Notamacropus eugenii: one gene and its partners. The protein of the gene in region 3 purifies or fractionates together with the protein of the main gene of each other region. This does not show direct contact. Links are inferred from orthologs where the notes say so. Each region holds a gene or a part of one and is shown on either strand. Other genes may lie near its edges.

Region 1 (7,354 bases), on a different chromosome or scaffold from region 3:
TGATCGGGTCATGACTGTCTCTTTCCATAAATATGGCAATTACTTCTTCCCTGGCACAGGTAGAGATATTTGGCAGGGAAGGGTAGGGGGGTAGGAGGGGAGGATGGATTGAGGAAATGGTAGGTCAGGGATGATTAAGTACCTTTAGAAAGGGAACAGAACAGGTTGGATAGTTGTTGGGAGCACAGAGTCTATGTCTGAAGTAAAAAAATTCACATTTGTAGTTTTTTCCCAGCAAGTTACCCCCATCCATCTTTCCAGGTGATATGTATGAAGTTGGAGCAGAAAGTGGACGCTACTACTGTCTCAATGTGCCCCTGCGGGATGGCATCGATGACCAGAGTAAAGGACTACCTCTTTGCCTAATTTCATATTATTTTTCTTCACTGTCTACTGACTGTTTTCTTGTACCCTGTACCTGGGTGGCAGGTTCCCTGAACTTCCTTTCCTACTTTCCCTGTGTCCAAGTCCAGTCCTTCTCCTTGGGGTGCTAGCTGTCTACCTCTTACCACTTCAGGTTACAAGCATCTCTTCCAGCCTGTCATCAATCAAGTGGTGGATTTTTACCAACCAACATGCATTGTGTTACAGGTAGCAAGCAGTTTGAATGGCCCAATGTGGGGGTGGGGGGGTGGGGAGTGGGGCAAGTTGAATTGGGAGGGAGAGTTAGCCCTGGCCTCTGTGGAACTTGGCAGGGAGGTTGGCAGTTCTGAATTTGGGGGGAGAAGTATAGGGTAGATGATCACTTATGTGTCCCAGTCAGTTATCTCACCGCAGCTGCCTGGTATTTTGCTCTTTGCAGTGTGGAGCTGATTCCCTGGGTTGTGATCGGTTAGGCTGCTTCAACCTTAGCATCCGAGGTCATGGGTAAGACTCTTTTCTTTCCATACCATCCTGGACACCCTTCAGAAACATCTTGGGGTTTGGCAGAAGTGCCTTAAATTTATATACTTGTAGATATAGGGCCAGAGTCCTGGCCTTTTCTTGTGGAGACAAAAGAACTAAGAGGGGGATATACACAGAACCAATGGATCTGTGATCTCATTAATGCAGGAATTCCCTTCAGTGATAGAAATTGAAACTCATCTATGCCTGCTCATTGTGTGGGGCTCTTCTTCATGTACTTTCATAAATTCCTCATAGGGAGTCCATCCAGCAGTGTTAGGGGCTTTCCTCAAATTCTTCCATTGCCTGGTGGCCAGTGGAATACATGCTCTGTCCATTAACTATCCTTCACTCTTCTTATGTAGCCATGGGTTATAAGAAGAAAATGTCACAAACAACTTGGATTTTTGGTTTGATTGGAAGTGGTGGGGGCCCTTGGATGTTGAGAGATCTAAGGCAAAAGTGACTGTGAAGATGGAAAAGGGATGGATAATTCAGCTGTTGACATTTCCTGGTCCTCAACAGGGAGTGTGTTGAATATGTCAAGAGCTTTAACATCCCATTGCTGGTACTGGGTGGTGGTGGCTACACTGTTCGGAATGTTGCCCGATGCTGGTGAGTTCAGCCCCTCATCTATCTGTCCTCTCTCCTATGAGTATCCTGGGTTCATTGAGGGTTGCCTAGGTGGGCCCTAGAGCCTTCTCATTCAGTTCTTTCCTTCCCTTTGTTTCAGGACATATGAGACATCACTGTTGGTAGAAGAAGCTATCAGTGAAGAGCTACCATATAGTGGTGAGATACTCTTTCTACCCCACCCCATCTTTTACAAATATATTTCCTTGGGACCCTAGGATGACCTGGGGTGGGGATGGAAGAATAATTTGATATTTTTCAGTAGGCAGAGTTGAGTTCTTTTCTAGTATTGTTACTAACTCTTTTTTTCTGATACTGAATCACTGAATTGCAGGGGGACCAAAGTCCTGGCCCTTCTTCCTATAGAGTCTAAGTTAGATAGAAATGAGACCCAGGAACCCTGATTCCCAGCCAGTGCTGAACTTTTCTCACTCTTTGCCCTGCGGCTCTGATCTGTTTATCTTCCTCTCCCCAAACAAAGAATATTTTGAGTACTTTGCCCCAGACTTCACACTGCATCCAGATGTCAGCACACGAATTGAAAACCAGAATTCACGCCAGGTCAGTGGCCCAGAGAAATGGGAATGGCTGTTGCGGGGTGGGGGTGGAAGTGGGGACAAAGAAGTGAGTGTGTAGACTTGGGGTATGGTGGATTTACTTCCCATTGGCTTGATTGGGGAGTGATTGTTGGGGGTGGCACAGGATCAGAAGGGTTTGGCCTGAGGGTACAGGCCAAGGAACTGAGGGAAACAACCTAGGGAAGGAAATTCCAGGCCAGTCCTGGTAATGAAACCTAAGTTGCTAAGGTAGAAATCAGGATAGTCAAAGACTGTAAGAAAGAGTGCTCAACAGGTCTGTCCCTGACTAGAAAAGACTTTTGTGGAATTTGTACTTCTGAGTGAGGGTGGGAATAGTAACTTTGGGAATGGATGAGAAATAGCTTATGTCCCCTTATACCTTCCTTCTTGTTCTGGCTAGTACCTTGACCAGATCCGGCAGACGATCTTTGAGAATTTGAAGATGTTGAATCACGCACCCAGTGTCCAGATCCATGATGTGCCGTCTGATCTGCTCACCTATGACCGAACTGATGAAGCTGATGCTGAGGAAAGGGGCCCTGAGGAAAACTATACCAGGTATGGGGTAAGGAGAGAATAGCCATTGAGAGAGCCTTAAGAAAGACAATGGCAGGCTATTTTGCTGAGAATTGGAGTGCAGCAATAGCAGGGTGGCTTTTTTCTTTTCTCTTCTTCTTGGTATTAAGGAAGAGGAGAGAGGAATATTTGGGGAACCATGACATATATTTTGTGGGAAGTACAAAAGGCTACAATAGACTTGGTGGAAGGGCTCCAAGGAGAATATTGCTGGTGAAAAGCCAGAAGGTGGCTAGAGACAGAGGAGTTGGGAATCTAGGCATTGGAGCCTACTCCTATCACCTTTTGTTTGCTTCCTGTCCCTTTCCCTTTTTCTTCTGCTTTCTCTTCCCTGGCTAAGTGTTTAATAAATGCTTGTTGATTAATAGCACTGATCTCTCTCCCAACTTCCCAGGCCAGAGGCTCCCAATGAGTTCTATGATGGAGACCATGACAACGATAAGGAAAGTGATGTAGAGATTTGAAGCTTGGAGAGACTCTGCTCCACAGAATTACCTCCCACTTCAAGGCTGGGCAGGTGGCAAGGACAGTGACCTTCCCTCGAGTGACTTTTTCTATCCCTGGGCCTTTGCTTTCCACTCTGTGGGGAAGAGTCCAAAGACTGCTACTGGTCTCAGAACCTACTTACCCTTACTCCAGTCTTCTTCCTCTCAAGCCAGAGGTGGTAATTGTTGGACAGGTGGATGGGAGACAGTCCTAGCTCTGACTTGGGGCTACAAGGTCAGCTCCCCTAGACAGGTCAGAGAGGTCACATATCCCTGGGGGCCAGTCTCCTAGCTTGCCCCTGTTGTCAGACCCGTCTCCTCTTGACAAAGATATTTTCGGAACTGAGGGGTGGATGATACTAAAGGTACCTTTTTATTCCCAGCCATACTGTGCCCAGTCTGATGTACACTTTAATTTGGGAGTGGAAAGGGACCAGGGGAGGGTTGGCATTTGTTATCAGTCCCTTTTGATTGGGGAAGGAACGAGTGGAGAGGGGTTTTGTGTCCTGCCTTTTCATATTTTATGTCCATTTTACCATTGTTTTTATCCAATAAATTGAGTCAGTATTTTTCTTATCTACTGCCTTCTTCCTGTGAATTTGATATGTCTTTTAGGTGCATCTTATTGGGAATGTGGGGGTGGGAGGGGAGTTGAGGGTAGATGTCATTGTATCCAGGGGTGATAGATCTGGTGTTTGTTTTCTACTTTTTTTCACTGAATCCTTGGGCCTTTCCCAGGACTGCCATACTTCATTAGCTCAAGAGAGTGGGCCTGGGCTGTCTGAGGCTAACACCAATGATGCCGTTGGGGTTTCCCCGAGGTTGGGTTTGTGACAAGACGCAGGGAGCCTGCTCTGTGGATGGGTTAGCCTACCACCCGTCCGGGATGATCTTGCTAAAGGTGGGGTTGGGAAAGCACCATTAATATCCCCTGTTCCAAAGGCCTCACTCCCCTGGCAGAAGGCTGATTTCCCGTGTACTCCGTGACGTCTAGGTACGACAGCCACCCCAGTGCAGGGACGCGAAGAACCAGAGTCTGTGCTTCTGTCGGAGGCCCGGCAGATGGCGCTGTTCCTGGTTCTAGACCCCTCAACTCCCTCCCCACTAAATTGGGCGTAGTGGTTGAGCCCATCGGGCAGGTAGAGCGTTGAAACGATCGTCACCCCCCCAGGTCCACGCACTGTTGGTAGGCACCGCACGGAAGTGTGCAGGCTCGGAGCTCTGGGTCGGCTCTACTAGATATTCATGAGGCGCGCGCAACTCGGCATACTAATGAGCTCGGGGAAGGCGGGGGCCTGAGAGGCGCTGGGCGGCGGCGCGCGGGCGGTCGGCGAGGAGGCAGCGGGCGGCAGGCGGGCGCGCACCGAGCGGAGCGGAGCGGAGGGAGCAGGCGGCGGGGGGCAGCGTGTTAGCCTGAGACATGGAGCCTCCCGGAGGGGGCCTGGGGCCGGGCCGCGGCACCCGGGACAAGAAGAAGGGCCGGAGCCCGGAGGAGCCGCCCGCGGCCGGCGACGGCGGCAAATCCAAGAAATTCGTGAGTGTCCCACCCACCCACCCGTGGCTTCAGCCCCATCACGGTCCCCTCGGACCAACGGCCGGGGAGCCGCCCCCGCCCCCGCCGCCTGCCAACCTGCAGGGTGCCCTTCCCGCTGCCCGGCTCACCCCTTGCCACTGTCCCTCCCGGCCCCGGCTTCCCCAAGCCCTAACCACCCTCCTACCCCTCCGCTTACTCCTCAGCACCCTGCATCGGACTCGGTCCTGGGGGCCCTTCTAGCCCCCCTCCCTCAAACCGCCCGCCGTGCACACCTGGCCCCTCTCCTCGATTTGATCCCCCGCCACTGCCTCAGACCCCCCCGGCCCTCCCTCCGCTTCCCCTAATCCCTTCTCTGCCCTCCAGCCACCTTTATCCCTATCTCTCCAGACACATCAGACCTGGTTTTCCCTCTTTCTCTCTCCCCCTAAACCTGGTCCCCCTCCGCCACCTGGCCTCTCAGGTACCTTTCCTCCCGTCCTCCCAGCCCAGCCAGCCCTGGATCCTTTCAGCCGCTTCTCCGCACCCACCCTCACCTGGCTCCCCTTAATTCCTTCTGTGCACTTCCCCCCTCCCCCAGCCCCCGGACCCCTTGAGTTACTGCATACATGGTAATGAGTCCTTTTCCATCAGCCTTGTAACCTTCTCTCCCCCACCTTGGGAGCCTTCAGGTAGCCAACTTCCCAGCTCCTGTGTGTCTTCCTTTGCTGCCGTTGCTGTCGCTGTTTTTTCCCAATGTTCGCTTAACCTTCCTCCTTTCAGATCTTTTCTCCCATAACCCTTATTGAACTAGTTCCCTTTTGCTCACTCACCTTTTAGTTCTTACCTTCTATCAGTCACTCCTCAACTTCCTTCTTCTTTTTTTCTTTCTGTTAACATAAATGTTCCTTCTTCCTTGGCCCAACCCCCTTTCTCCAGGTACTTTCCTAGGTTCATTTTCTAAGTCTCTCTGGGTTTTCTGTTATTACCCCGCCCCCGCCCCCCTCCCCATTTCCTGATCTATGATTTAGTCTTTTCACTTGTTAACTTTCCATCCAATAAAATCTTTTAGGCTCTCAGTCTAGTGTCATTTGATAATGGCTCCCTCTCAGGAATGTTACCTGACATGTGACCTCTCAGAAATTTGTCCTTGCATTTAAAGAAATAAACTCCTGCCCAATTACACATGCCCTTCAGTCACATTATTACTCTGTCTTCCAATATTTTTTCCCTCTTAGTGTTTTTCCTTTGCCCTATCATTACTTCCTTGGGGGTGAACTCTTTGGCTTCTTGCCCTAGAGTAATAGTAACTCTCCCTTCACAAGTGGAGAGGAAAATAAAATTGCAAGTCCAAGAAGTTTTGTGAACAATGTGATTGTGTTTTATACATTTTCTATTATAACCATCATTGCAACCTCTCTCCTACCTCCTCATCCTCTTCAGTGCTGCTGATAGCCTTACTCTGTCTTTTTTGGCAACTCTCTTTCTGTGAGAAGTACTTCAACCCCACTCTGAAGAAAAAGTCATTTCCATGTAACCCCTTACTTAGCATGTTTTATTATGATGTCTATACCTTGGCCCCATACTAAATCCTCCTTTCTCTTGAGGCAGCGGTGGGGAACCTGCGGCCTTGAGGCTTTATGTAGCCTTCTAGTTCCTTGGGTTCAGCCTTTTGACTGAGTCCAAGTTTTACTGGACATATCCTCTTACTAAGGAGATTTGTTCAGTGAAGTTTGGATTCAGTCAAAGGACTGAACTTGACCCCTGTCCCAGGGGATATTTATTTTCTTAACAATTTGGAAATATACAGGACACGTTGTTCATAGCTCCTTAAAGAGAGCAAGTTGAGTACAAGATTTTAATAGCTCCTTACTAGTTGGCAACCATGTATTCACTTCAAGATGGTAATCCTCTTACAATCTTTCCTTCTCATTGAATAAATTGCTTATAGCTTTCTTTTTCCTTACCTTCTCTCTCTTAATTCCCCCAAACAATCAAAGTAATTTCCTCACAAACTTGGCAAGAAAGCTGATAAAATGATGAATTGGAAGGATATACTACTTTTTAACCAAGGGTGTTGAGAAATGCAGTACTACACAGGAATTACTTGTGTAGCTGGCATAATGGAAAGAGGAATAGATTTGGAGTGATTGGGTTTGAGTGCTAACTATTAATTGTTATTATAGGCAGGTCACCAAACCTCCCCTTGCCTCACTTTCCTCATCAGTAAAACAGGGCAATAATATGTTTACCGCTTAAGTGACAGATGTTTAGAGGAAAGCATTTGTGTAAAATGGTGGTGGTTGTTATAGGGGGCTGTAAAGTGGTGATCCTTCTCTTTCTGCCTATCTATGGTTAAACTAGACACCCCCTAGGCCTGTTAACAATTGATCTTTATAATTAGCCTCATTATTCCAGGCCACTAATTGCCTGTGTTTATGCTGGCTATTATTTCTTCACCCAGAGCATGTGGCTTAATAGTTGAAGAAAATTTCTTACTGGCTCAAAAAATATTCCCTGTTTGTTACTACAGTGTCACCTGAGTTTCTTTAGGTTAGGTGTTTAACCTCTCTTAGACTAGGTTAATCTTTCTTTCTGAGTCTAAAGTTCCTGGGCCCCTAATTTGGAATTTAGTTCAGTTTCTTCAAACCCTTTGTGTTACTTTGCATTGAGTTTGTCTTCCCTCT
Region 2 (6,864 bases), on a different chromosome or scaffold from region 3:
AGCCAAGGCCGGCTAGTGCACCCACTGCAGCGCCCCAGGGGAGGGCGCCCCAAGAACAGAGTGGAGAGGATTTTTAGCGTTTCGGACGCAGCCCCCAGAGTGGACTAGACGGGACTTGAAGGCGGAGAGGTGTTTATGGAGGGGGAAAGGGAGGGCGGCGGTAGTGGGGTCAGAACAGCACTTAAGCGTCTTTGGAGTAGGGGTGAGAGGTGGGGCGGTGTGGGGGTGGGAGGAACTGAGCCCATCACAAGATCGCCTCTAGGACCCCAGAATCTGGGCCCGGCTCTGGCCAGGGAGAGAGTGAAAGAGAAACAGGGAGCAAAGAAACTGGGCAGGAAAACCTGCTGCTGGGAGGGATAAGCCCCGAGGTGTGAGCCGTGCTCCTGTATCAATCACTGGCCCGAACCCTCACCCCCACCATCGGTCCACAAGAGTGACTCGGTTCTGCTAAGCGGAGCTCCGAGGTCCCAGGGCATAAGGATAAGGAGCTGGGTGAATGAGGCGGCTGTTTCAGGCAAGACCTGGGAGGAATAGGTCGTGAGGAGTAGGGGTGGCGGGGGGGCGGGGGGGGCGGTGCGCGGAGCAGAGACTGACCTCGATGGGGCTGACTGGAGTGGAGGAAAGCGGCTGCAGGTATTCCGGGTGCAAGAGGTGGCCGGTGTGCGCGCTCAGCATCTTCAGTACCCTGATGGGGAGTCGGTTCGCCTGCCGCAGGGGGTCCGCCGGAGGCAGGAGGGACACCGCCGCCGGGACCGCTGGTCTCTTCCCTCCGCCGCCGCTCTGACTGCTGCCGCCGCCGCTGCCGCTGCTGCTGCTTTCCGGTGTCCTTGGGTTAGATCCAGCGGGCGAATCGCTCATTTGGAGGAGGCAGCGCCACGGGCGGGGACGGGGGGGCGGGGAGGGGGAGCACCGGGGAGGCGAGCTCCCGGGGCGGGCGGGCTCGCTCCGCAGTGCCGAGCGGGGTGCAGCGGCCAACCGCTCCTCCTGCACCTCCCCTCCTCCGCTGCCGCCGCCGCCGCCGCCGCCGCCGCCGCCGCCACCGCCGCCGCTGGCCCGGGCGAAGAACACAAAAACCTTCCCCTTCCCCTAGCCACACGTCAAATAGCCGCGATCGGCAGCCACACTTCAAAGGGAGAGCCGCGCCCGCCCAATCGCTGCTCTCCCAGGGACCCCGGGGCGGGGAGAGCGGGCAGGCGGGGGGCGGCCTCGCCGGGTGGGAGGGGAGATCCTTAAAGGAGCCCCGCGCCGTCTCCCCCGACGCCTCAGCTTCCCGGATTCCGCGGTGGCTCCCCCTTCCCCCCCACTCCCCAGCCCTTCACCTACCCTCTCCCCGCTGGGCGTCCCTTGCTTCGGGGGTCTCTATAAGCACCAGGGCGCCTCTAGGAGTCAGGAGAAAAGCGGATTTCTGCTGCTGCTTGCTTCGTGCCTCTGGGTTCTCACCCGTTCCCCTCTTTCCGCAGCGGGAATGTCATGCGGGTCCAAAGAGGTTCCGGGGGGCAGCTGCGCCCCAAGTTGGGGGGGGCTCCCTAACAGGTCCCCAGCCTCTCTCGGATGCTGACTCCAAAGCGCCCAGGGTCAGCCGGAGAGGGGGCCGCGGTGCCCTCCGCTGGGGGCGCGTTGCTGGTCCACGTCTTCGTTCGGAGCCGAGCTGGGAGTGTTAGCTCGCTCGGCAGCGGAGGGAAGAGAGCGAGAGCGAGAGCGCTGCGCCCTGGACTCGGAGGCACCTCCTGGCCCCTGGCGGCGGTGCGGAGCGGTCAGCTTGAAGTCCTCTCTAATGATCTGTCAGGTCCCAAGCAGGCAAGTTAGGGAGAGGACCCACGCTGGGGTGATGTCATCGCCGCGGCATTACCTCTCCTGCCCAGCTCAGGCTTCTACCCGTGGGTAATGCTCGCCTCCCTCGTTCTCCCTTGCCCTGGCCTGCCTGGTGCTCTGTAAGCGAGCGCTGATTTATTGCTCGGATATTTCAAGTGTTTCGTGTTTCCTTTCATGTCCTCTCTAGAGGCAGAAAATTCTTTCCCTCACTATCACGCCTGGCGGCTGTTGGCTGCTGCTTATGGAGTTCCAAGCACTGGTGAGACCCGAATCCCAGGGAAAAGCTTTCTCACCAGCTGGGGCTGGGCACCCTCTCCTACTCTCCTCTTTCCTTCCACAGTTATAGAGACTTGAGTTTATATATATGTAGGTATGTGTGTAAACACTTTCCCCCGTTATGTATGTCCGTATGCATGTGCTTTTTTAAAATATGAAGTAAGCATATGGAAATTTTGGAACTGTGTGGAAAGAGCCCTCTGTGGGGTCAGAAGACCTACGTTCAAATCCTTCTCTGATCCACTACTTATGTGACTAGGGACAAATCACTTCACTTAGGCCCCGATAACTTCTGGGAACCAGCTACCACATATGTAGAGTTGGAGGTTCCTCCTTGAACTACGATCCTATATGTATATATATATATAACCACAGAGAACCCGTAAGATCACTAAGATGGAGAAATGCTTTCCTATTGTGCAGACAGCATTCACCACAGTCATTCGCTTTAGTTTTTATGTTTTTGACACCCGGCTGGATCTCCTAGCCTGATATATCATTTCTACAAATCAAGGCTTTAGTTTTAGAGTTTTCTTTTGGAGGGGGGGGGCGGGGCTTGTTGCTTGGTCAGGGTATTTTGAATTAGGGTTACTGGAGAAGAGAGATGTAACAGAGAGGAGTATTGTCAAGATACAGTTCTTAGGACCACCCCTCTAAACTCCAGGCACAGAGATACCTTTTCTTGGTCCTTCCTTCAGCCACTGGAGGGAAGGTTCTATCACATGCTTACCCCAAGTACTGCTGCTCCATCAGCCATCATCAGGCACTTCATTAGAAAAAAAATTCTGAACTTAAGAAATAAAACAAGCTTTTCCATAACACAGTAGAATAAAAAAAAGAGATGATTGTACAGGAAATTGCAAATCTGTTATTTACAACTTGCCATTGCTTTTAAATATATAATAAAGTTATCATGTAACTTGCTGTTTTTCTTTTTTTTCTTTCCTCTCTCTTTCCCCTTCCCCCACACCATTTCCTCCCACAACTGTCACTTTGGATGTACAGTATTTCGTGACGGGTCCCAGTCCAACCCCAAATATACCCTTCTGTAGGACTTAGTTCACATGGATTCAGCCTAAACAATCAAGATATATTTCTGAAATCATAGAATTTTAGAGCTAGGAGGAATTTAAAGAGTCTTTAATAAAGATCACTTAGTTCTACATATAAGACAATAGGGAGGGAATGAAATATTTTTCAATTAATCAGTTAAGTATTTATGAAACACTTGCTATGTGCCAGGTACTAAGGATACAAGTACAAAAGAATGAAACAATCACTAATTGAAATAAACTTTCATTATAAAGGAGGAAGACAATAAGTACATGCAATAAGTACATGTATTTGTATTAAGACTTTTGGGATACCCTGTATAAAATTTACAGCATAAATAGAAATATAGGTATATTTCTATTTATAAATACCAGTATCAGTATACTGCTTACAAATGTACACACAGAGGGGCAGCTAGGTGGTGAAGTGGTAGAGTACTGAGCCTGGAGTCAGGAAGACTCAGTTCAAATTTAGCCTCAGACACTTCCTAGCTGTGTGACCCTGGGTAAGTCATTTAACCCTGTTTGCCTCAGTTCCCAAAATGAGCTGGAGAAGGAAATGGCAAACCACTCCAGTATCTTTGCCAAGAAAATCCCTCAAATGGGGTCATGAAGAGTCTGACAGGACTGAATAAAAATTGAACAACAACATATGTAGTAGTTAAATAAAAGGTGGTCTGGGAGGTAGACCTCTGTCGGTTGAGGGGTTCAGGAAAGAAGCTTGGTTAATGCATAGTTAGCACAAAAGCATGGAGAAGGGAGATAGCCACTTTGGCCAAATCTCAGAATGTGGGAGTGAGAGTCATGTCCAGCGAGAATGGAAAGATAGTTTGATGCCAGGTTTTATAGGGCTTAAAAGTTAAAGAGAGGCGTTTCAATTTGATCCTATAGGCAATAGAAAAGTCACTGACGGTTGGGTAAAGGAGTCACGTGGTCAGATCTGCACATAAGGAAAATTATTTTGCCAGCAGTCTGGAGGATTGGAGTGGGGGGAGACTTGAGGCAAGGAGACTAATTTTTAAAATTAATTAATTTTTAAATTTATGGAATAAAACAAGCATTTACATAACATAGTATAATAAGAAAGATTGCACACAAAACTGCAAATCTATTATGCACAATTTGCTACTTCTTTTAAATATATAATAAAGTTATCATGTAAATTTCTTTTTTCTCCCCCCTTTTTTCTTTCCCCCCTTTCAATTAGGGGGCTGCTTCAATAATCTAAGTGAGAGGTGATGAGGGACTGAATTAGAGTGCTAAAGAGATATTGTGAAGGCAGAAAAGGGTAGATCTGGCAGTTGTTTGAATGTGTAGAGTGAGAAGTTGAGGATAATGCTGAGACTATAAATCTGAGGTTTGTGGTGCCTTTGATAGAAAGGGAAATTTGAAAGAAGGGAGAGTTTACAGGGAAAGATAATGAGGTGAATTTTAGATATGTGGAATTTAAGATGTCTTTGGAGTTTTAAAATGTTTCATAATGGGACTGAAGCTCTGGAGGGGAAGACTGAGGCTGGATATACAGATCCATGAGTCATCTGCACAGAGATGCTAGTTATACTCATTTGAGCTCATGATGTTCCTAAGAGAGAGTAGACTGATAAGAATAGAAAGTCCAGGGCAGAACTTCAGGGAACATATACGGGGAATGATATGGATGATGAGCCAGCCAAGGAGTTGAGAAGAAACCAGGCCATAAAAATCCAGAGAGGAAAGAGTATCCAAGAGGAATGGTTGGTCAGCAATGTCAAATACGATGGACAGGTTGAGAAAGACTGAAAAAGTCCAAGAGATTTAGCCATTAAGGGATCATTGATAACTTTAGGAGAGCAGTCTTAGTTGAATAATGAGGTCAAAAGCCAGATTGCAAATGGTTAAAGAGTGAGTGAAAGGTAAAGAAACAGAGACAGCAAATGGAGACAACTTTTTTTTTTTTTTTGCCTGAGATTGTGAGAAGAGATACAGAAGATAGCTTGAGGGTATGTTTGAAGGGATTAGGGAGGGAAATCAGCTAAGAGGAAGCTGTGGAAGCTTTAAGAGATCTGCAATCTGCTGGAGAAAACTGGAGGGGCTGGGATCAAATATACATATATAGGGATTGGACAAAGAAAGGCTTGGACTCTTAGAGTCTGGGGGAAATGAGGTCAAGGATTTTGGAAAAGGAAAGAAGGAGGAAAGAAGAGAGCTCGCTTTGAATGGCCTCAATTATTTTTCCATTAAAGTAAGAAAAGAGAAAGGGGAGAGGAAGAGAAGTGAGGAGGGGTTTGAAGAGGAAAGGGAAAATTTGAATTTTTTTTAAAATAGGGAATGAGGTAGGGATTCCATTAGGGAGGAATAAAAGGACTGCCTTACTTCAGTGAGGGCCTAGTTGGATTGGATGATATGATTTTATAATATAGTTGATCAACAGGATTGTGAGACTTTCTCTTATAAAAATTATTTGTATGAAATGAAATTCAATTCAATAAAAATTATTTGTATTAAATGAAATTCAATTCAATGGCCATTTATTAAAGATACTAGGATAAGCCCTGGGGAATTTGAAGATAAAAAGAGAGAACAATCCCTGTCTGCTAGGAGCTTACTTTCTACTAAAGGATAAACTTAGGATCATAGATATAGAGCTACCTGGGACCTTAGAGGTCTCCAACCTCTTATTTTACAAATGAGGTATTTTACAAGCACAAAAGTGAGTTTACATAGATAGAAAAGATAAGAGCCAGGATTTGAACTTAGATCCTCTCTCTAAACCCAGAACTTTTCCCACTAGATCACCCTATTTGGTGAGTAGAAGCTCCAGGTAGGAGATTGCACCTGAGCTGAGCCATGAAGTAAATTAAAGGTTTCAAGACATAAAGGTGATGAGGGCGTATATTCCAGGACTCAAAGGCAAAAGGGATGAGGTAGGAGATGGAAAGGCAAGTTCAGGGAGCAACAAGTAGCCCAGCCTGACCAGAATGCAGAATAATGTGAATGAAGTAGGTCTGGAAGACTAGAGTGTAGACAACTATGAAGGGCTTTCAATACCAACCTAAAGGTTACATTTTATCCTTGATGCAATAGAAAGCTATCTTAAGCAGAGGAAGGTAATGTTTTCATTGGATTAGAAGGGGGAGAGATTGGAAGCAGAGAGATTAATTAGGAAATTATTGCAGTAATTCAGGTAAGAAGTTATGAGGGCTTGATGTAAGGTCATGATTATGTGAGTGGAGAGAAAAGAACGAGTATGAATTAAGTCATGGAAGGAGAGCCAAAAAGATTTGGCAACCGATTGAATATAGAGGATGAGGGTGAGGGAGAATAAAGAGTGGAGGCTGATCCTGAAGTTGGCAACCTGGGTGACTGCAAGAAGGTGGTGACTTCAGTGGAAAGAGAGAAGTTTGGGGTGGGGCAATGGATATGATGAATTTGAAATATCTATGAGACATCTGAATAGAGACCTCTATTAGACAGTTGATACTACGGAGTTTAGAAGAAAGTCTAGGGCAGAGTACATGTCTCTAAGAGAGATAGTAAGTAAACCCATGGGACCTAATGAGCTAAACAAGAAAACAGGGTCTGAAGAGAGAAGTCTAACTGCCACATTCTAGATATACCGCGCTGCTATAAAACATATAGGTACAAGGATTGGGAGGTTATGAAACGTCTTCTTATAGGCTGTCACGTCTGGTAACTGGGATCATTTCCAGGAGTGCCTGATTTAACTACTTGTCCCCTCACCAAC
Region 3 (7,821 bases):
TTGTGACATTCAGCCAGCTAATAAATCCATCAAAATTCATACTGGGTTGTATGTGTGATATAGCTGTGGGTTGTCCAGGTTAGTCACTTACTCAGACCCACAATCATATCACTTGTGATCACCTTAAAAAAAAACAAAACCTAAGAGTGTGGAAGGAAGAATAGGCTTAGATAGGTAGTAATAGATTCATATTCTGGGCAGTCATATCACAGAGTCCTGGGCAAAGGAATGCACAAATGTCAGTACTGTAACTAGGGTAGGGGCAACTGGAGCTCTGTCCCAAAGGTACTAAAATTAAGATGACACAAAATAATTTAATTCACACACTCTTTCCAAAGACTAGGAGATTAGGAAAATGTGAATTTTGTGTAGGGATGAGGGTCCTGCAGAATTTTCTCTTTTGGGGACTTCTCTCCTTCCTCAACTCCCTCACCTTCCCCTTCCCCCACACACATTAGGTTTCCTTCAATACTGGCAGAGAAACAGGAAATCAATCAATCAATAAGCATTCATTAAGTGCCTACTATATGCCAGGCACTGTGTTAGATGCTGAAGATACAAAAGCAAAAGTGTAATAGTCCCTTTTATTAAAGAAGTTTGCATTCTAAAAGTGGGAATGGGATAGGGGACAACATGCAAATTTATAGGTATATTCAAATCTGGTAAGATGTAACCCTGTGGGAGAAGGCACTAAGAATTAGGATGACCAAGAATAGCTTTGTGCTGAAATTGAAGTGTGAGATAGGTCTTGAAGGAAACCAGGAATTTCAACAGACTGAGATGAGGAAGGAGTGCAATCCAGATAAAAACATGGAGAAGGGAGATGATATACCATGTATCTATAAGAAGGGCAGTTTGGCTAGGCTGTAGAGTATTGTGGAGAAAGAAATGACATTTGGCAGCTTATTGGATAAATGGGATAAGTGGGACCAGTCAAGGGCAACACCAAGGTTAATTAACTGATATAGTGGGAGGATGGATGATGGTGCCTTTGACAGAGACAGGGAAGTTCAGGAGACAGATGGGTTTAGGGAGAAATTAGTTCAGTTATGGACATGTTCAGTTTGAGATGACCAGAGGACGTCCATTATGAAATGGCCAACAGGCAGTTGGTGATGCAACATAAGACTGTAGTTCAGAAGAGAGAGTAGGATAGAGATGACAATTAAACCTTCTATGTAGTGTGTAACATTTTATAATGTTAAACTTTTTTGAAATGTTGGTTAGTTTTGCTGAATTTTTTCCTTTTTTTTTCTTCTTTATTATAGGGTATGGCTCTCAATAATCAGATGGTAAGGGTGTGAGGGACGGAGAGATACAGTGGGAAATGTAGATAACATAAAAACAAAAGATAGCAATAAAAATTTATCTAAAAACATTAGATCTGTGGGAGTAGATGAAGTCACCAAGTGAAAGAATATAGAGAAAAAGAAATTTACATAAGTTTATTATATTTAAAAAGTATAGCAAGTTGTACTAAATAGATCTGCAGTTTCATGTGCAAGATTTTTTATTATGTTACATTATAGAAATGCTTGGTTTATTCCATAGATTAGTTTTTTAAGAGTAGAAAAAAAGAAAATAGGGTCCAGGACAGTTATGTGGGTTATCTCCAGAGTTAGGGGGCATGACGTGAAACAGGCTCTAAAAGAGGCTACTGAAAAAGACCCTTTCAGGTCATGTAGGTAAGAGAACAACAAAAATGTCACAGAAACACGGAGAGGGGAGAATGTCCAGGAGGAAACGGTTGTCCTATAGAGTCAAATGCTACACAAAGGCACAAAGAGTAAGGATAGAGAAGCAGCTGTTGGATTTGGCAATTAAGATCCTTGGTAACTTTGGAATGAAGGATTTCTGTTGAATGATGAAGTAGGGAACTAATCAGGAAAGGTTTGACCAGCCTGTGAGAGAAGAGCAAATAGACAGTGTAGATAACTTTTTCAAAGAGTTTGGTTGTGGAAGGGAGGATATATAAAAAATGGTGATAGCTTAAGGGAATGGTAGGGTCTAGTGAGGGTTTTTCGAGAATGAGGATACTAGAGGAATATGAGCAGCAGGGAAGTAGCCAAGTGTTATTAAGATTAGAGAGAGGGAGGGGATGATAGTGGGGGCAATCTGCTGGAGAAGACAGGAGGGGATAGGGAAGACATGATGGCAAGGGGCAATGCAGACAAGTAGCCCCACGTTTATTCACAAGGTATGAAGCAAGATCTGCTGAGTTCTTAGAGGTGACTGCTGCTATCTTTCCAAGAGCTAAACTAATATAATCATTTATATCCATATTATTATTTATTGTCCTGTTAGTAGATCGTGTGCCTAGTAACTCTGATGTAAACCTAAGAGCCCAAGGCTTTTGTTATATGAAGAGATGAATGATTTCTAATGGGAAAAGAGGTGTAGGTAGAATGGAAAATATCACACTTTAGAAATTTTTCCTTTTGTTTTGCGGTGCTTTTGCTGAGGTTTAGTGAAGAAACAAACTCAAGTTTTAAAGTAAATCCTAGTTTGGCTATTATGCTCATACAGTCTTAATAACTGAAAACTATAACAGTGTACAGGACGATAATTTTAAAAGACAAGAATTCTGATAATGCAGGGACTAATCTTATTCCAGAAAATTGCTAATGAAGCATGTGTTCCACTTTCTGGTAGACAGATGATGGACTATATATATGTACTGTACAAAATAAGGCATTTTCAGGCAGGACCAATACCACTTTTATTGGCTATATTCATTTATTACAAAGGATAGCTTTTTGTGGGGGAGATAATGGGGGTATGTTGAGGCAAGAAGGAAAGAAGGAAAAAAGGACAGGAAGAAAGGAAGGAAGTTAGAAAGGAAGGAAGAAAAACTTCAAAAAAATATATAAAATACACAGAAAGAAATTCAAAAGAGGACCCAAACCACAAGGGCAGTTTTAATACTACCATTGCTAAAGTAGAGGTACACTTGAAAAATGACAAGCTTTACATGATAGATTCAGTGTCATATGCAATCGTTTTTTGTCATTTGTAAATGGAAATGATGGTATTTGATGGCTATCAAGTTCATAATGAAAATTTCATTTTAAAATAAAGGAGGCAAGATATTTCTGTATCATCTCGTTTCAACTAAAGTTAAGCAAGTGCACACAATTCCAGTCTTTCTCATCTTTATACAGAAAAGGTCAATAGATTGAGAGATGTGTGAATTCATTGGTATGGGAAGCCTCCCATCAATGGCAATTCTAAACTCTCAATAACTTACAACCTCAGAGAATTACCTCTGGTTCAAGGAGGGTAAGTAGCTTGCTCATAATCTCAGTTAATAAGTGCTATTAAGCACATCCTTTCCTAGGTACTTTTCTTCTATTTTAATTGGTCTTGATTAGCATTGGCTTCTAACACTCTGAATCAATGCCCATGTTAACCCACCCCAAGTCTCTTAGTCAAATAAATAGATTCAGGACAAAAGGTGTTGTCATTTCCAGGAATCATTTGTTAAATTTAAAGGTCATAGGTCACAAGACAGAGCTAGAGAGACCTTTGGAGACAAGCCCATGCGGTTCTTAATGTGTTTTGTGCACGGTCACCTTTGACAGCCTGGTGAAGACTAGGGATTCCTTCTCAGACAAATTCTTTTAAATGCGTAAAGAGCATTACAAAATAATTCTATCAAAATCTCAAGAAAAAAGGTCCCGGACCCCGGGTTAAGAAAGCTTGATCTTGCCCCTCCCCTTCCTCTTGGTGGTTCTTCTCCCCCAACCAAAATAAAACCCAAAACCAAACTAGTTGGCAAAGTGGATTGGGCTGGCAGTCAAGAAGGCGGTTAGAATGAAGTCTCCAACACTGCGTGATCTTGGGCAAGTCAGTTTCAATCGTAAAACGAGGATAACCCGTACCTTGCAATGGCCTCACTTTTGTCAATCGCTAAGCACCGAGTCAGGCACGTAGCTAGTGCTAAATGGATACTTATTTCCGTGCCGCCGCCCCCACCTCGATTTTACAGAAGAAGAGACAGAGACCTGGACACCTGTTAGCTGTGTGGCTGTAGAGAGGCAAGTTAACCTCCCTGAGCTTACATTCTGTGAAACTGTGAATTACTGACAGCTTGTAAGTACTATTTGATGGGCAGAGTTCACATACCAATTATTTAATCTATCCCTTATTTTTCAGATGATGGATATGGTCTAATAAAGCTACTACTCCAACCATTTCTAGATCACACAAGGCTGACCTGTCACGCTCACGGAAAAAGGACGTCTTCGAGGGTTGGGAAATGCTATGCAAAAAGGGAATAAAAGGGAATGGCGGGGGGCGGGGCGGAGGTGGGGGGCACGAATGCCCTAAAAGAGGAGGCAGGGTGCGTGAGACAAAAGTGATAGAGATATGGGCTCCACGTGGTACACTGCCGGTGACTCCCTATCAGGACCTGCAGCCCACTGGTAGGGAGACACAAGGTCAGAGTCCCTTAGAGCCCCCTCTCCCGGGCACAGGTCTCTGGGAACGCTAGAGCCTCAAGATCTAAACGGCACCAGCACTAGCCAGTCTCGAGAGCGCTGGTCCATCCGCCTCCGACCCCACCCCCCTTCAAGTCCAGCCTGGAAGACTAGGGGATCTCTTCGATTGACATCGCGACCAGCCAACGGCTTTTCAGGGTTATGAAAACTCTGTTTTCCCCTCCCCCAAGGAGGCGGAGAGAGACTCGGTGGAATGACATAGAGCACAGCCAATAGGAAGAAGGATCTTGGAAACGATGGGACTAACAGCCAATAGAAGCAAAGGGTCGTTCTAACCGACGTGGGAGACCGCCAACGGCTACTGCTGTTATAGGGTCGCGTGGTTTCCGCTCCTTGAGGGCGGGGGAGCGTCCCAAACGGAAGGTGGTTGTGGTCAGTGCCTCAGGTTTGAAACTGGGGGTCGGGCACCAGAGCCGTTGTCTGTAGCTGCGGGGCTCTCCCCCTCCCCCCCTCCACCGGTCCCTGCTGACCCCACCCTCCTCCCTCCCGTCCCACCTCCCGACCCCCATCCCTACCCCGCCCCCCACCCCAGACCTCCCCCTCGAGTCTCTCGGCTGGGTCCGGCCCGGCCTCTGTCCTCCGCTCCGGCTTTTCGGGTCCGGAGGGCGGCCCTGCTGCCGCCGCCATGTCCCTGCACGGAAAGCGGAAGGAGATCTACAAGTATGAGGCACCATGGACCGTCTACGCCATGAACTGGAGCGTGCGGCCCGACAAGCGCTTCCGCCTGGCGCTGGGCAGTTTTGTGGAGGAGTACAACAACAAGGTGGGGGCGGGGCCCGGCGGCGCGAGACCCCGGGGTTGGGGGAGGGGAGGGAACTGACCGGCGCTGGCCCCTCCCCTTGATCCTCGCTCCCCTGCGGGGATGAACCTGTTTCTGCCCCCCCCCCCCCCCCCCTTCCCTGGGCCTTCCCCGGGCGTCCCCTGGGGTAGATGACTGGGAAGTGGGCGGGGGGGGGGGTGGAGTGTTCGAGATTTAAAGACTAACTGTTTGGTTGTCTTCGCGACCCCTCTCTTCCCTGAGATTTCTTCTCCTTCTTAGTTTTCCTTTCCTTGCTTCCTCAGTTTCCCGCCTCTGTACTGAGTCCCCCACCTGCTGTAAACCGGGGGGGGGGGAGGTGTGTGTGTGATACTTGCAGTATCCCCTTATTTTGCGGTTCAAACAAGACTAAAATTGCTCGCTTTGTGTAAAGGCCTCTTATTCCCTCTCTGGCTTCCTCTGCTCTTGATGTCACTAGGGGCTCCCTCCTCAACCTCTTCCTAGAAGAGGAGCCTCAGGGAGGTGAACCTTTGTCGCCACAGACTCTTAATGAGTGCCATGCGAAGGGGCAGAGGGGCCGCTTGGCCCAGTGGGTAGAGGGACACTGGAAAAACGGTATTCCATTGCTGGCATACAGCCGTGTGGTCAAGGGCAGGTCGCCTAATCTTTCAGTGTCCCACATGGCTCGGAAAGGCGTTAGAGCATTAGAGCAGCATCTGCGGAGGGAGCTTCATGAGCTCGGGCAGGGGTCTGAACCTCTCCCTGCCCCAGCTGCTCGAAGGCTGGATGCCACAGTAGCGTCAGTGGAGGGAGTTTGTTTCGACAACAGTTCTCTGCCCCAGTGAAATCACAGGTCGAAGAAAAGTGCTGCTGTACACCGATAGTCGCTGGGCAAGAGACAGTTATCAGCCATACGCACGTGCACACAGTTAATTTAAAATTGCACTAAAACTTATTTTTTGATTTGTTTACCTTATTATTTTAGACTGCTTTTTCTCCATGCTTCCCTTTTTCTCTTGAAGGCAGCACTGTGAATCTAGTCACACCACGTTTGTAACTTAACCTCTGAGGCAGACTTGGTTTCTCCCATCCAGCCGCCTTTGTGGATTTCATCTCCACATCATCACTTTCATTTTTCTCATTTCCACTCATAAGGCTGCCAGCCTAGTTCAGACCCTGATCACCTCTTGCCTGGGCTAGTGTAATAGAATTCTGATTGTTCTCCCTGCTTCCAGTCTTTCCTCCAGTCCTTCTTCCAGACAACTGCCAACATCACCTTCCCAAAGCACTGCCTTCGTTAAAACCTTCAGTGAATCCTCAGTTGTTGTGGCTCAGGTAGAAGAGGCCTTCCCTCAGCCTGGCATTCGGGTTCTTCACAGTGTGGCTCTAATAGAGGTTGTTTCCAGCCTTATTTCAGACTCCTTTCCCTTCGTGAAATTTGGTCAGTGTACATGTTGAATCCCTTCCATAGAAAGTAAGCTTCATGAGAGCAGGGATTGATTGTTTTGTTTGGACTTTGTGTCTTTTGTGCCTGTTTGACTCTTAGTGTTTGTGTAATGGAAATCACAAAACACAGAGTCAATGTGATATTAGCCGTCGTTGGTAAGACATTCATCTCTTACTCTTGTTGATTCCATTGGTTTCTATTCTATGGCTATTGCACAAGTAGTCTTTTTCACTTTAGTGCTACTTAATGAATTCCCTTCCAGTTCAACTGGCAGAAGCAGAATTCAGTATTTCTATTCTATGAAGATATTCAAGACTCTTCACTTGTGAAACTTCTAGCTAATTACCCACACCCCTTTTGGGGGGATTTAAAATTATTGAATGTTAGCCTATGAAGAAACTTTAAATAATTTAATATAATCCCTTATTTAACAGATGGAGAAACTGAGGCCTTGTGGTAGAACCAGAATCTTCAGCCCCAAACTAGCTATTATTTGCTGATTAAAGTTACTCTTCCTTTTGCCTTAGGCTTTATACCTTAACAGTCTGTGATTGTGCTCACTTTTTGAAGAGGACTATGACATCAGAGAAATGATGACATGACATGCATTTGATTTTGTTTTGAATGAGGGAGGGCTGTGCAAGGTCACCAGCCTCGCTTTCCCCTCCTGTGCCATCTGTATCCAGTGATCAGATATTCTTTAGGATGAATGGAGACAGTTCAGAATGCAGTGGGAGACCTTGGCCTCATAGGCTGAGGTCTTTTCAGGTACTCACTTAGAGTGAGGTGGTGCTCTTTCAGTGAATAGGCCTCTTTTAAGAAGTAGTTGGGATGTGGCCACTTTAAATAAAAAAGAAAAATTAAATAAATCAGGACCCACAGGGTTGTTGTTTCAAAGAGTAACAGTTACTATTGACATTCACTCTAAGGCAGGAGGGTCCAGAAAACAGCCATTGAATGGAGCTTGGGCAGGGACCCGTTGTTGTTCAGTGTTCAGAGTGCCCTGGGTTTAAAGAAAGACAAGAAAGAAAAAAAGAGAGAGAGCGGAGAAAAAGAAAGACATCTAGCTAGTAAACCCCAAATTAACTGGGCAGCTTCTGGCCATCAAAATTTAACTT
Region 4 (6,955 bases), about 260 Mb from region 3:
GTTGTCCTGCATCTGATAACATGAAATTCATAAAGATAAAAGAAATTGGTATCAATTCAATTCCAAATGCATTTAAGCCTGCTTAGTTGGTGCTGTGCCAGGTGCTTAGAGCACAAAGATAAAAATAAACCAGTCCTTGCCCTTAATGCACTTCTATTCTACTGAGGGGAATTTGTATATGTAAGAAGATAGAACATATTTTGTCTGAGGATGAAGAAAAGTGCCGATAGAGAAAAATCAAAAAAGATCTCTCATAGGAGCTGGCACTTGAGATTGAAATGTTTCAGGTATGGGGAACTGCCTATGCAAAGGCATAGAGGCTGGAGATGTTACACATGAGGAGTATCAAACAGTTCACTTTGGCTGAGGGGGGTGAGAAGTAATGTGAAATCAGTCTAGAAAGAATGATGGGTTCAAGATAGATTGGAAAAGGCTTAAATGCCAAAAGAGTTTGTATTTTGCCCTGTAGACAATTAAAGAACTACTTAGTACAGTTCTTAGAACACAGTAGGCACTTAAAATGTTTATAAATTACTTAAGGTTCATTGGCCTCTCTGGTCCCACTTTCCCCTTCTGTGAAAATGAATGGGTTGAATGAGATCATCTCAAGTCTTTTCTAGCTCTAAATTTTATCACTCTACAACACATAGCCAAAACGGTGGAAGATAACTCAGTATGAGTTTACTGCTGCCCCTTCCCCATCCCAGTTCCAAATTCCACCCTCTCTCAAAACTGTCCTACTCCCCTCCAAAGCAGGAAAACATCACAAAACAAAACAAAAAAGATATGTTTATTTCTCAACTTTAAGCAAGGATGAATCAACCTTTGCAATCTCCCTCCAGCAAAGGCTAAAATCAAACTAAACAAAATCCAAGATTTCAAGTCTAGGAAGACCCAAGGGACTAAAATTCCAAGTTCAGGGTCAGATGTCAGCAGTAAGATCCTTGGGGGTAGGTAGTCACAGGTCTCCAAAGAGTCTATGATCAGAGATCATAGTTTATATAGTCAGGATCAGAGATCAAGGTTCATGTAAGTCCGTAGATTCCGTTCCCAAGCTCGACTCCTCTCCTCTCGATGTCTCTCTTCTCTCTTGCCCAAAGTGGCAGCTCGAGGTGCTCTTTTTTTTTCAGCCACAGCACGAAGGTCCCCAGCAGGAAAATGTGTGACTCGGGGTTGAGAAGTTGGCCTATATCCCAAACCTTCCTGGTCTCTCTTGAGGATTGTAGGAATGGGAGCAGTGCGCCCCTCTCCCCGGGGTCCCAGTCCCAATCCAGGCTCCCAACCCCCCTTCACTAACAATCGAAAGCCAGGGCTAGAGGCAGGGACTCCTGGAGGCAAGGGGGGTGGCTGAGGCCCATGGGACAGGGATAGGAGGTGAGCAGTAGAGCTGTTGTGATTAGTGTCTCGGTAATGGGAACTACAAGTCTCACAGTATTTTGGCAATGGAGAGCAGGGCCTGGAAAAAAAAAAAGGTAGAAAAGAGTGAAGGTGGGCGTCTTTTCAAGGTCCAGTTCAGTTGCTTCCTCTTCTATGAAGCCTGATACACAACTGCTCATGTTTCTTCCTCTAATTTTCCTAAAGCACTCTGGAGCTCTTTTGTGCCTTTTACTCAACCTAGTAAAACACTTATGCAAGAACTACAATAAACTTAAAGTTGGAAGGAGATTTAGAAGTTATCTAGTCCAACCCCACTCTCTAGTTAACAAATGAGGAACTGAGGCCCAGACAGACAGACTTCCCCCAGTCAGAGGTAGTAAGACAGAGCATCGTATCAGTCCCTGGTAGGCTGTAAGCTCTTCCAGGGAATCTGTGTAGTTTTGCATGTTCAACTTCCAGCATACACAGCGCCTTAGATTTTACTGGCATTGAATAAGTCTTCAAAGACTGTATTACTTTACTGGACAGGAGGCTCAAGGTTGGCTCAGCTCTGGAGTTGAAAAGGGTGACCACACCTTATTAATCCATACTCCTCGGGTATACTTTCTCACCAGTCCTTAGAAACCAGGGCCTTGCTACCATAGAGAACAATCTCAAGGATCCCCAGGTGGAAAGGAGGCTAGGTATTATTGGCCACCGACTCCTTAATGGGGTGGGGTAGGACAGTGTAATAGTGAAGATGACGATAGCTAACATTTGCAAAGTTGACCATGTGCCTGGCACTGTGCTCTAAATCCTTTACAGCTATTACCTCATCTGATCCTCCCAAGAACCTAGGTTAGCAGTAGATGGGGGAAGAGGCTGAGGAGCATCCTCAGATCTGACCCATGGGCTGTCACCTCCAAACTTAAAATCCTATTTGGTAAATAAAGTCCTTGGACAAGGGAGCCCTCGAGTCCCTTTCTAGGTTTCCTACACCGCACTCACCCCCACACCGAGATCCAGTGATAATGCCCACCTTGCCTTCCTCTCACAAGACAATCTTCCAGACCATGGGCTTTCTTTCTGGCCGTGCCCCAGGCCTGGAATGCTCTCCCTCCTCCTCTCCACTTCATGGCTTCAAGTCCCAGATAAAACCTCACTTTCTACAGGCTTTTATCCACCTCCCTTAATGCTAGCGCCTTATCTCTTTCTTATTAATTCCAGCATGAAGCTGTTTGCATGGCTTTCGCCCTTAGCCAGTAAGCTCCAGGCTCGCAGGGAAGGTCACCGAACTTTCTTGGTGACTCGGACCCTTCCCCGTCAGCTGCTAGACTGGGACGGTGGCAGGGGGCTGCCACTCACCGGCTTTGGGGCCTCTCCTCTCCACCGCTCTCTCGGACCATCCGGGCCACCTCGGGGAAGCCGGCCTCTTCGGCCAGCTGGGCAGCATCGCGCCCCCCGGGCTCACAGACGCCCACCCAGGCGGCTCCTCGCGCCAGGAGGTAGCGCACTGCCGGTCCCTGGCCCGCCCGGGCTGCACACATCAGCGGGGTCCACCAGAAAGCGTCCCGGGCGTTGACGTTGACATGGGCCCCGCGGGCCCCCGGGCCTCGGGGCTCCAACAGGGCGCGCAGCTGCCGCACGTCCCCGGCCTGCGCAGCCCGCAGGAGCCGCGCGGTCTGTCGCTCCCGGGTCCCATCGCTCTCGGCGCGGGCCGCAGCCGCTCCCGCCGCGGCCCCGGCCCTCTCCAGCCTAGTTTTCTGCGTCCGTTTTCTGCCTTTGGGGGGCGCCCGCGAGGGTGCCGGGGGCCCTCTGAGGGCGTCTCCCTCCACCCCGACCAGGGCTTCATAGAAGTTCCGGGCGGCTGCACCGTCCAGGGGGAGCTCCGACTCCGGCTGCTGCCGCCCGTCCTTCCAGTGGTCACTCGAGTCCCGGGCCGGGGTGAAGGCGATAAGGGCGGGGCGGGTCATGACTGCTGGGGTGGGGGAACATCAAGCCAGCCGCCCTCAGGAGCAGTTACCGGGCCAGCGTGGAGCGAACGCCAAGTGGGTCATCCTAAAGCTAACCCAGTAAAGGGCGGCAAAGCCCCCCACCGAGACTTGTAAGCGACCGGCAACCAGGAAGTAAGTTCAATGATTACAGGCCTCCTCTCTGGATCCCACCTCTAACTCCCTACGCTCGGTACTCGACTTCAAGTCCCAGTAGCAACCAGCGCCAGGCTGAGACACGGCGCCGGCGCAGAAAACACTCCGGAAGTAGATCACTGAGAAGAGAGTGCGCCTGCGTCAAACTACAGTCTCAGTCTGGAACCAAAGGAACACTTGAAGCGTGCCGCCTTGACAGCACCCGTAAAATAACCTGGCGAGATGGAGGACTGGAGGCCGGAGCGATGCGGAGGTGGTTAAAAAGAGGCAGATAGACACACAGACACATACACACACACGGGATTCTGCGCCCGCGTTCTGTTTATTTTGCTCCTTTTCTCCGCTCCTTAGCCGCCGGTTTGATTCGAATTGCTCGGTAGCTCGAGGCAGGCGCGTGCTCAGAGGCGCGAAGGCCCCCGTGGGGGAAGGGAGGGGCACCGGCCGTTAGGGTTCTTCGTTTGCATAACGCCCCACAATGTGCTTCGTTCCTCTCAGAGTGGCCCCCGAAGCCCATTTCCTGGGGCCAGAGACGGGGTTTCGGTGGAGTCAGCTGCCCAAGGAAGGTGGGCACAGGCCTGCAGGGTGCAGCCAAGTCTAAACGCGAATTAGGGCCAGGCTGCCTCTCACTCTTAGTGCAACCAGCATTTGAGGGCTAGACAAAGAGCCCTGTGCTGCTGCAGGCCAGCCTAGCCCCTAGGAGTGGAGGAGGAGATGGAGAAGGGCAAGGGGACAACTAACAGGATGGCTGGTGCCACCTCAGGTTAGCGGCCCCCTCCCATGACAAGCCCTTTACCCCGGAGGCTGGGGTTAAACCCTTTCACTCCCTAGTACCACCCCACCTCCATTCTCTGGAGAGAAGGGGCAAAAAAGAAACCTGGTCATCCAGTGCTCTGGAGGAGGGTGGACATGAGGACCTGTTTGGTAGAGCTGGCGCAGGGGCTAACTTGGTATGGGGTGATTTGTGGAGAGGTGGGAATAGAGATAGATGGTAAGGGTTAATTGGCAACTTGGAGGAAGAAATAAAAGATAGGGGTAATGAAGGTTGGATAAAGGGAGAGAGGAAGATGAACTATGATGAAGGAAGATGGGATGAAGGAACGCCTTCATACTTTACTGAGAAAATAGAAGCTATCCTTCATGAACTGTTCTTACCTATTCTATAAACCAACCCTCTCAATTATCCCCCATTTTCTTCTTATAAGAAGGCACCCCTTCTCCTTGTCAGTCCTCTCTCAACTTGTACCCCTTCATCTTATCTCTTCCCAGAGCTTGCCCCTCTCTCCTCTTATCCACTGACTCCTTCCCTCTTATCTACAAACATGCTCAAGCCTTCCCCATCCTTGCCTAAACCCTCACTAGCACACCCTCAAACTATCATCCTACATGTATCCTTTTCACAGCCCAACTCCATACCTCTCCCACTACCACAACCAAAACGGGTTTCTCCAAGGTTATTAATAATTTCATTATAAATTATTAATTTTCTTTAAATTATAAATCAAATGGCCTTTTCTCATTCCTCATCTTTTCAGTTTTTGAAACTGTTCATCACCCCCTCTTCCTAAATACTTGCTCTCAACTTAGCTTTTATCACACTACACTCTCCTGGTTTTCAAGCCTGAAGGACCATTCCTCAGTCTCCCTTGCTGGAACATCATAGGTATTCAAACCACTAAGCATGGGTGTTCCCCCTGAGGCTCTGTCTTGGGTCCCCTTCTTTTCTTTCTTTACAGTATTTCTTTATATCAGTTCCCAAAGATTCAATTATCATCTGTATACAGATATCTCTCAAATCTACATATCTAGCCCTAATCTCTCTCCCAGATTTCAAGTTCCAGATCAGTTAGTTCCACAAACACTTGTTAAGCATCTACAGTGTACCAGGCACTGTACTAGGCATTTGGATACAAAGACAAAAACACTGATGAATAAAGTCTATTGACTGGCTGCTGGATATTTCCACCTGGATCTCCAACTCAGCGTATCCAAAATAGAACTCATTTCCCACCATGCAATCAGCACTCATCATGCCTAGCCAGGACTATTGTAATAGCCTCCAAGTTGCTCTTTCTGTTTCCAATGTGTTCCCTTTCCAATCTATCTTTAACATAGAAGCAAAAAAATCTTGCTAAAACACAGATCTGAACAAGGCACTCCCCTAATCAAGAAAGTTCTGTGGCTTACTTTTGCCTCTAAGATAAAAGACAAATTCTTCAATTTAGCTTTTAAAGTCACAATCTAGCTCCAGTTTAGTTCCCCAGATTTATTTCACACTACTCTCCTTCATCCACTCTTGTGTTATAGGCAAACTGACCTATTTACTTTTCTCTGAATTTGGCATTCCATCTCCTGCTTCTGTGATGTGCTGTGCCTTTAAAGATTAAGAATAAACTGAGAAGCATTATGATACATACTCTACCTGTGAGATATGTAGGGGAAAGACTTTCCAACCTCACTTAGGAAAATGTACAGGAAAAATGTGTCTCATCTCTGGAATGTACTCCATCACTTTCATATCTTAGAATTCTTTGAAGGTTCAACTCAGATGCCAACTCCTGCAGGAAGCCTTTCCTAATCCTCCTAGATTTCAGTTTTCTCTCAAATTATCTTGTATTTATGTATATGTACCTCATTGCGGGGTCGAAAAATACCCACATCAATGAGATTGCACAGATCAACTTGGAATACTGGAATACATGTATTCTCCAGTAGTGTTTTTCATAGTGTCTTTTGTAATCCCACACCCATCAGTGCTTTGAATATATAACAGGCGTTTATATAAAAGTTTGTTAAAGTACTGGATGATGAAAAATGATTGAGGAGAATGGGATGATGAAGGCTAGTTAGGGGGATGAGGATTGTGAGAAAAGGGGAGATGACTGGAAATAAGGGTGAGGGATGACAGATAGATGACTGGGGAAGTATGCAGTACATTTAGTATAAACTGAAGAGCTAGACCGTTATTGTAGATACCTTACCTGTGAGACGTATAGGAGAAAGACGGTCCAATTCCAATTTAATCCCAATCTTGTTCGGCTCGCTGATGTGTAGGAGAAAGACTCTCCAAACCTTACCTAGTCTGGGTGTTGCTCTCTGTGGGCACGAGGACTACATTTCCCATGTTCACCAGCGCTAACCTCGATCTCGGGCTCCTGTTTCCAGCATCTTAGAGGAGAGCCTCCAGTCCTTCCTCCTTTGTGGCCCCGCCCCCTGCCCTATTTCACTGAGAGGACAGGGGCAAGGGTGTCTTCCGGAAGTCGTATTATTAGCCCAGCCTTACTACTGTTCAGGGACTCCATATCCCGTCTTCCACGGGGGGAGCCTGACCTCCTGCGCCTGCGCTCTGTGTACTTTCCCGCCCTCCCGTTTCTCTTCCCCCTTCCCCTCCCCCCTACCCCCCCACCGCTTCGCCTGCCGCGGTCGGGTCCGCGGCCTTCGCTGCGCGGCTTTGC

The links.
Region 1: the proteins of DCAF7 (region 3) and DIAPH1 purify together in Homo sapiens (affinity purification with mass spectrometry; 5 studies listed by BioGRID and IntAct, counting the BioPlex papers as one, with this or other methods). This does not show direct contact. The link is inferred for Notamacropus eugenii from reciprocal best matches to the Homo sapiens genes DCAF7 and DIAPH1.
Region 2: the proteins of DCAF7 (region 3) and ZNF703 purify together in Homo sapiens (co-immunoprecipitation; 5 studies listed by BioGRID and IntAct, counting the BioPlex papers as one, with this or other methods). This does not show direct contact. The link is inferred for Notamacropus eugenii from reciprocal best matches to the Homo sapiens genes DCAF7 and ZNF703.
Region 4: the proteins of DCAF7 (region 3) and CSNK2B purify together in Homo sapiens (affinity purification with mass spectrometry; 4 studies listed by BioGRID and IntAct, with this or other methods). This does not show direct contact. The link is inferred for Notamacropus eugenii from reciprocal best matches to the Homo sapiens genes DCAF7 and CSNK2B.

What each region holds. Positions count from the first base shown.
Region 1 is NC_092872.1:368,992,976-369,000,329, reverse strand, and holds the start of DIAPH1 (protein diaphanous homolog 1), read left to right. Parts: upstream 1-4,339; 5' UTR 4,340-4,577; coding exon 4,578-4,691; intron 4,692-7,354. Other genes in the region: HDAC3 (histone deacetylase 3), read left to right, coding at 1-59, 262-342, 518-591, 803-867, 1,411-1,500, 1,619-1,677, 2,000-2,079, 2,497-2,654 and 1 more. UniProt on the Homo sapiens protein: Actin nucleation and elongation factor required for the assembly of F-actin structures, such as actin cables and stress fibers. Binds to the barbed end of the actin filament and slows down actin polymerization and depolymerization.
Region 2 is NC_092872.1:623,326,772-623,333,635, forward strand, and holds the start of ZNF703 (zinc finger protein 703), read right to left. Parts: upstream 3,005-6,864; 5' UTR 859-3,004; coding exon 595-858; intron 1-594. UniProt on the Homo sapiens protein: Transcriptional corepressor which does not bind directly to DNA and may regulate transcription through recruitment of histone deacetylases to gene promoters. Regulates cell adhesion, migration and proliferation.
Region 3 is NC_092873.1:344,148,644-344,156,464, reverse strand, and holds the start of DCAF7 (DDB1- and CUL4-associated factor 7), read left to right. Parts: upstream 1-4,790; 5' UTR 4,791-5,124; coding exon 5,125-5,262; intron 5,263-7,821. UniProt on the Homo sapiens protein: Involved in craniofacial development. Acts upstream of the EDN1 pathway and is required for formation of the upper jaw equivalent, the palatoquadrate. The activity required for EDN1 pathway function differs between the first and second arches.
Region 4 is NC_092873.1:85,320,457-85,327,411, forward strand, and holds the start of CSNK2B (casein kinase II subunit beta), read left to right. Parts: upstream 1-3,937; 5' UTR 3,938-3,978; coding exon 3,979-4,066; intron 4,067-4,104; exon of another isoform or gene 4,105-4,214; coding exon of another isoform or gene 4,215-4,263; intron 4,264-6,695; exon of another isoform or gene 6,696-6,955. Other genes in the region: GPANK1 (G patch domain and ankyrin repeat-containing protein 1), read right to left, coding at 1,012-1,456, 2,722-3,329. UniProt on the Homo sapiens protein: Regulatory subunit of casein kinase II/CK2.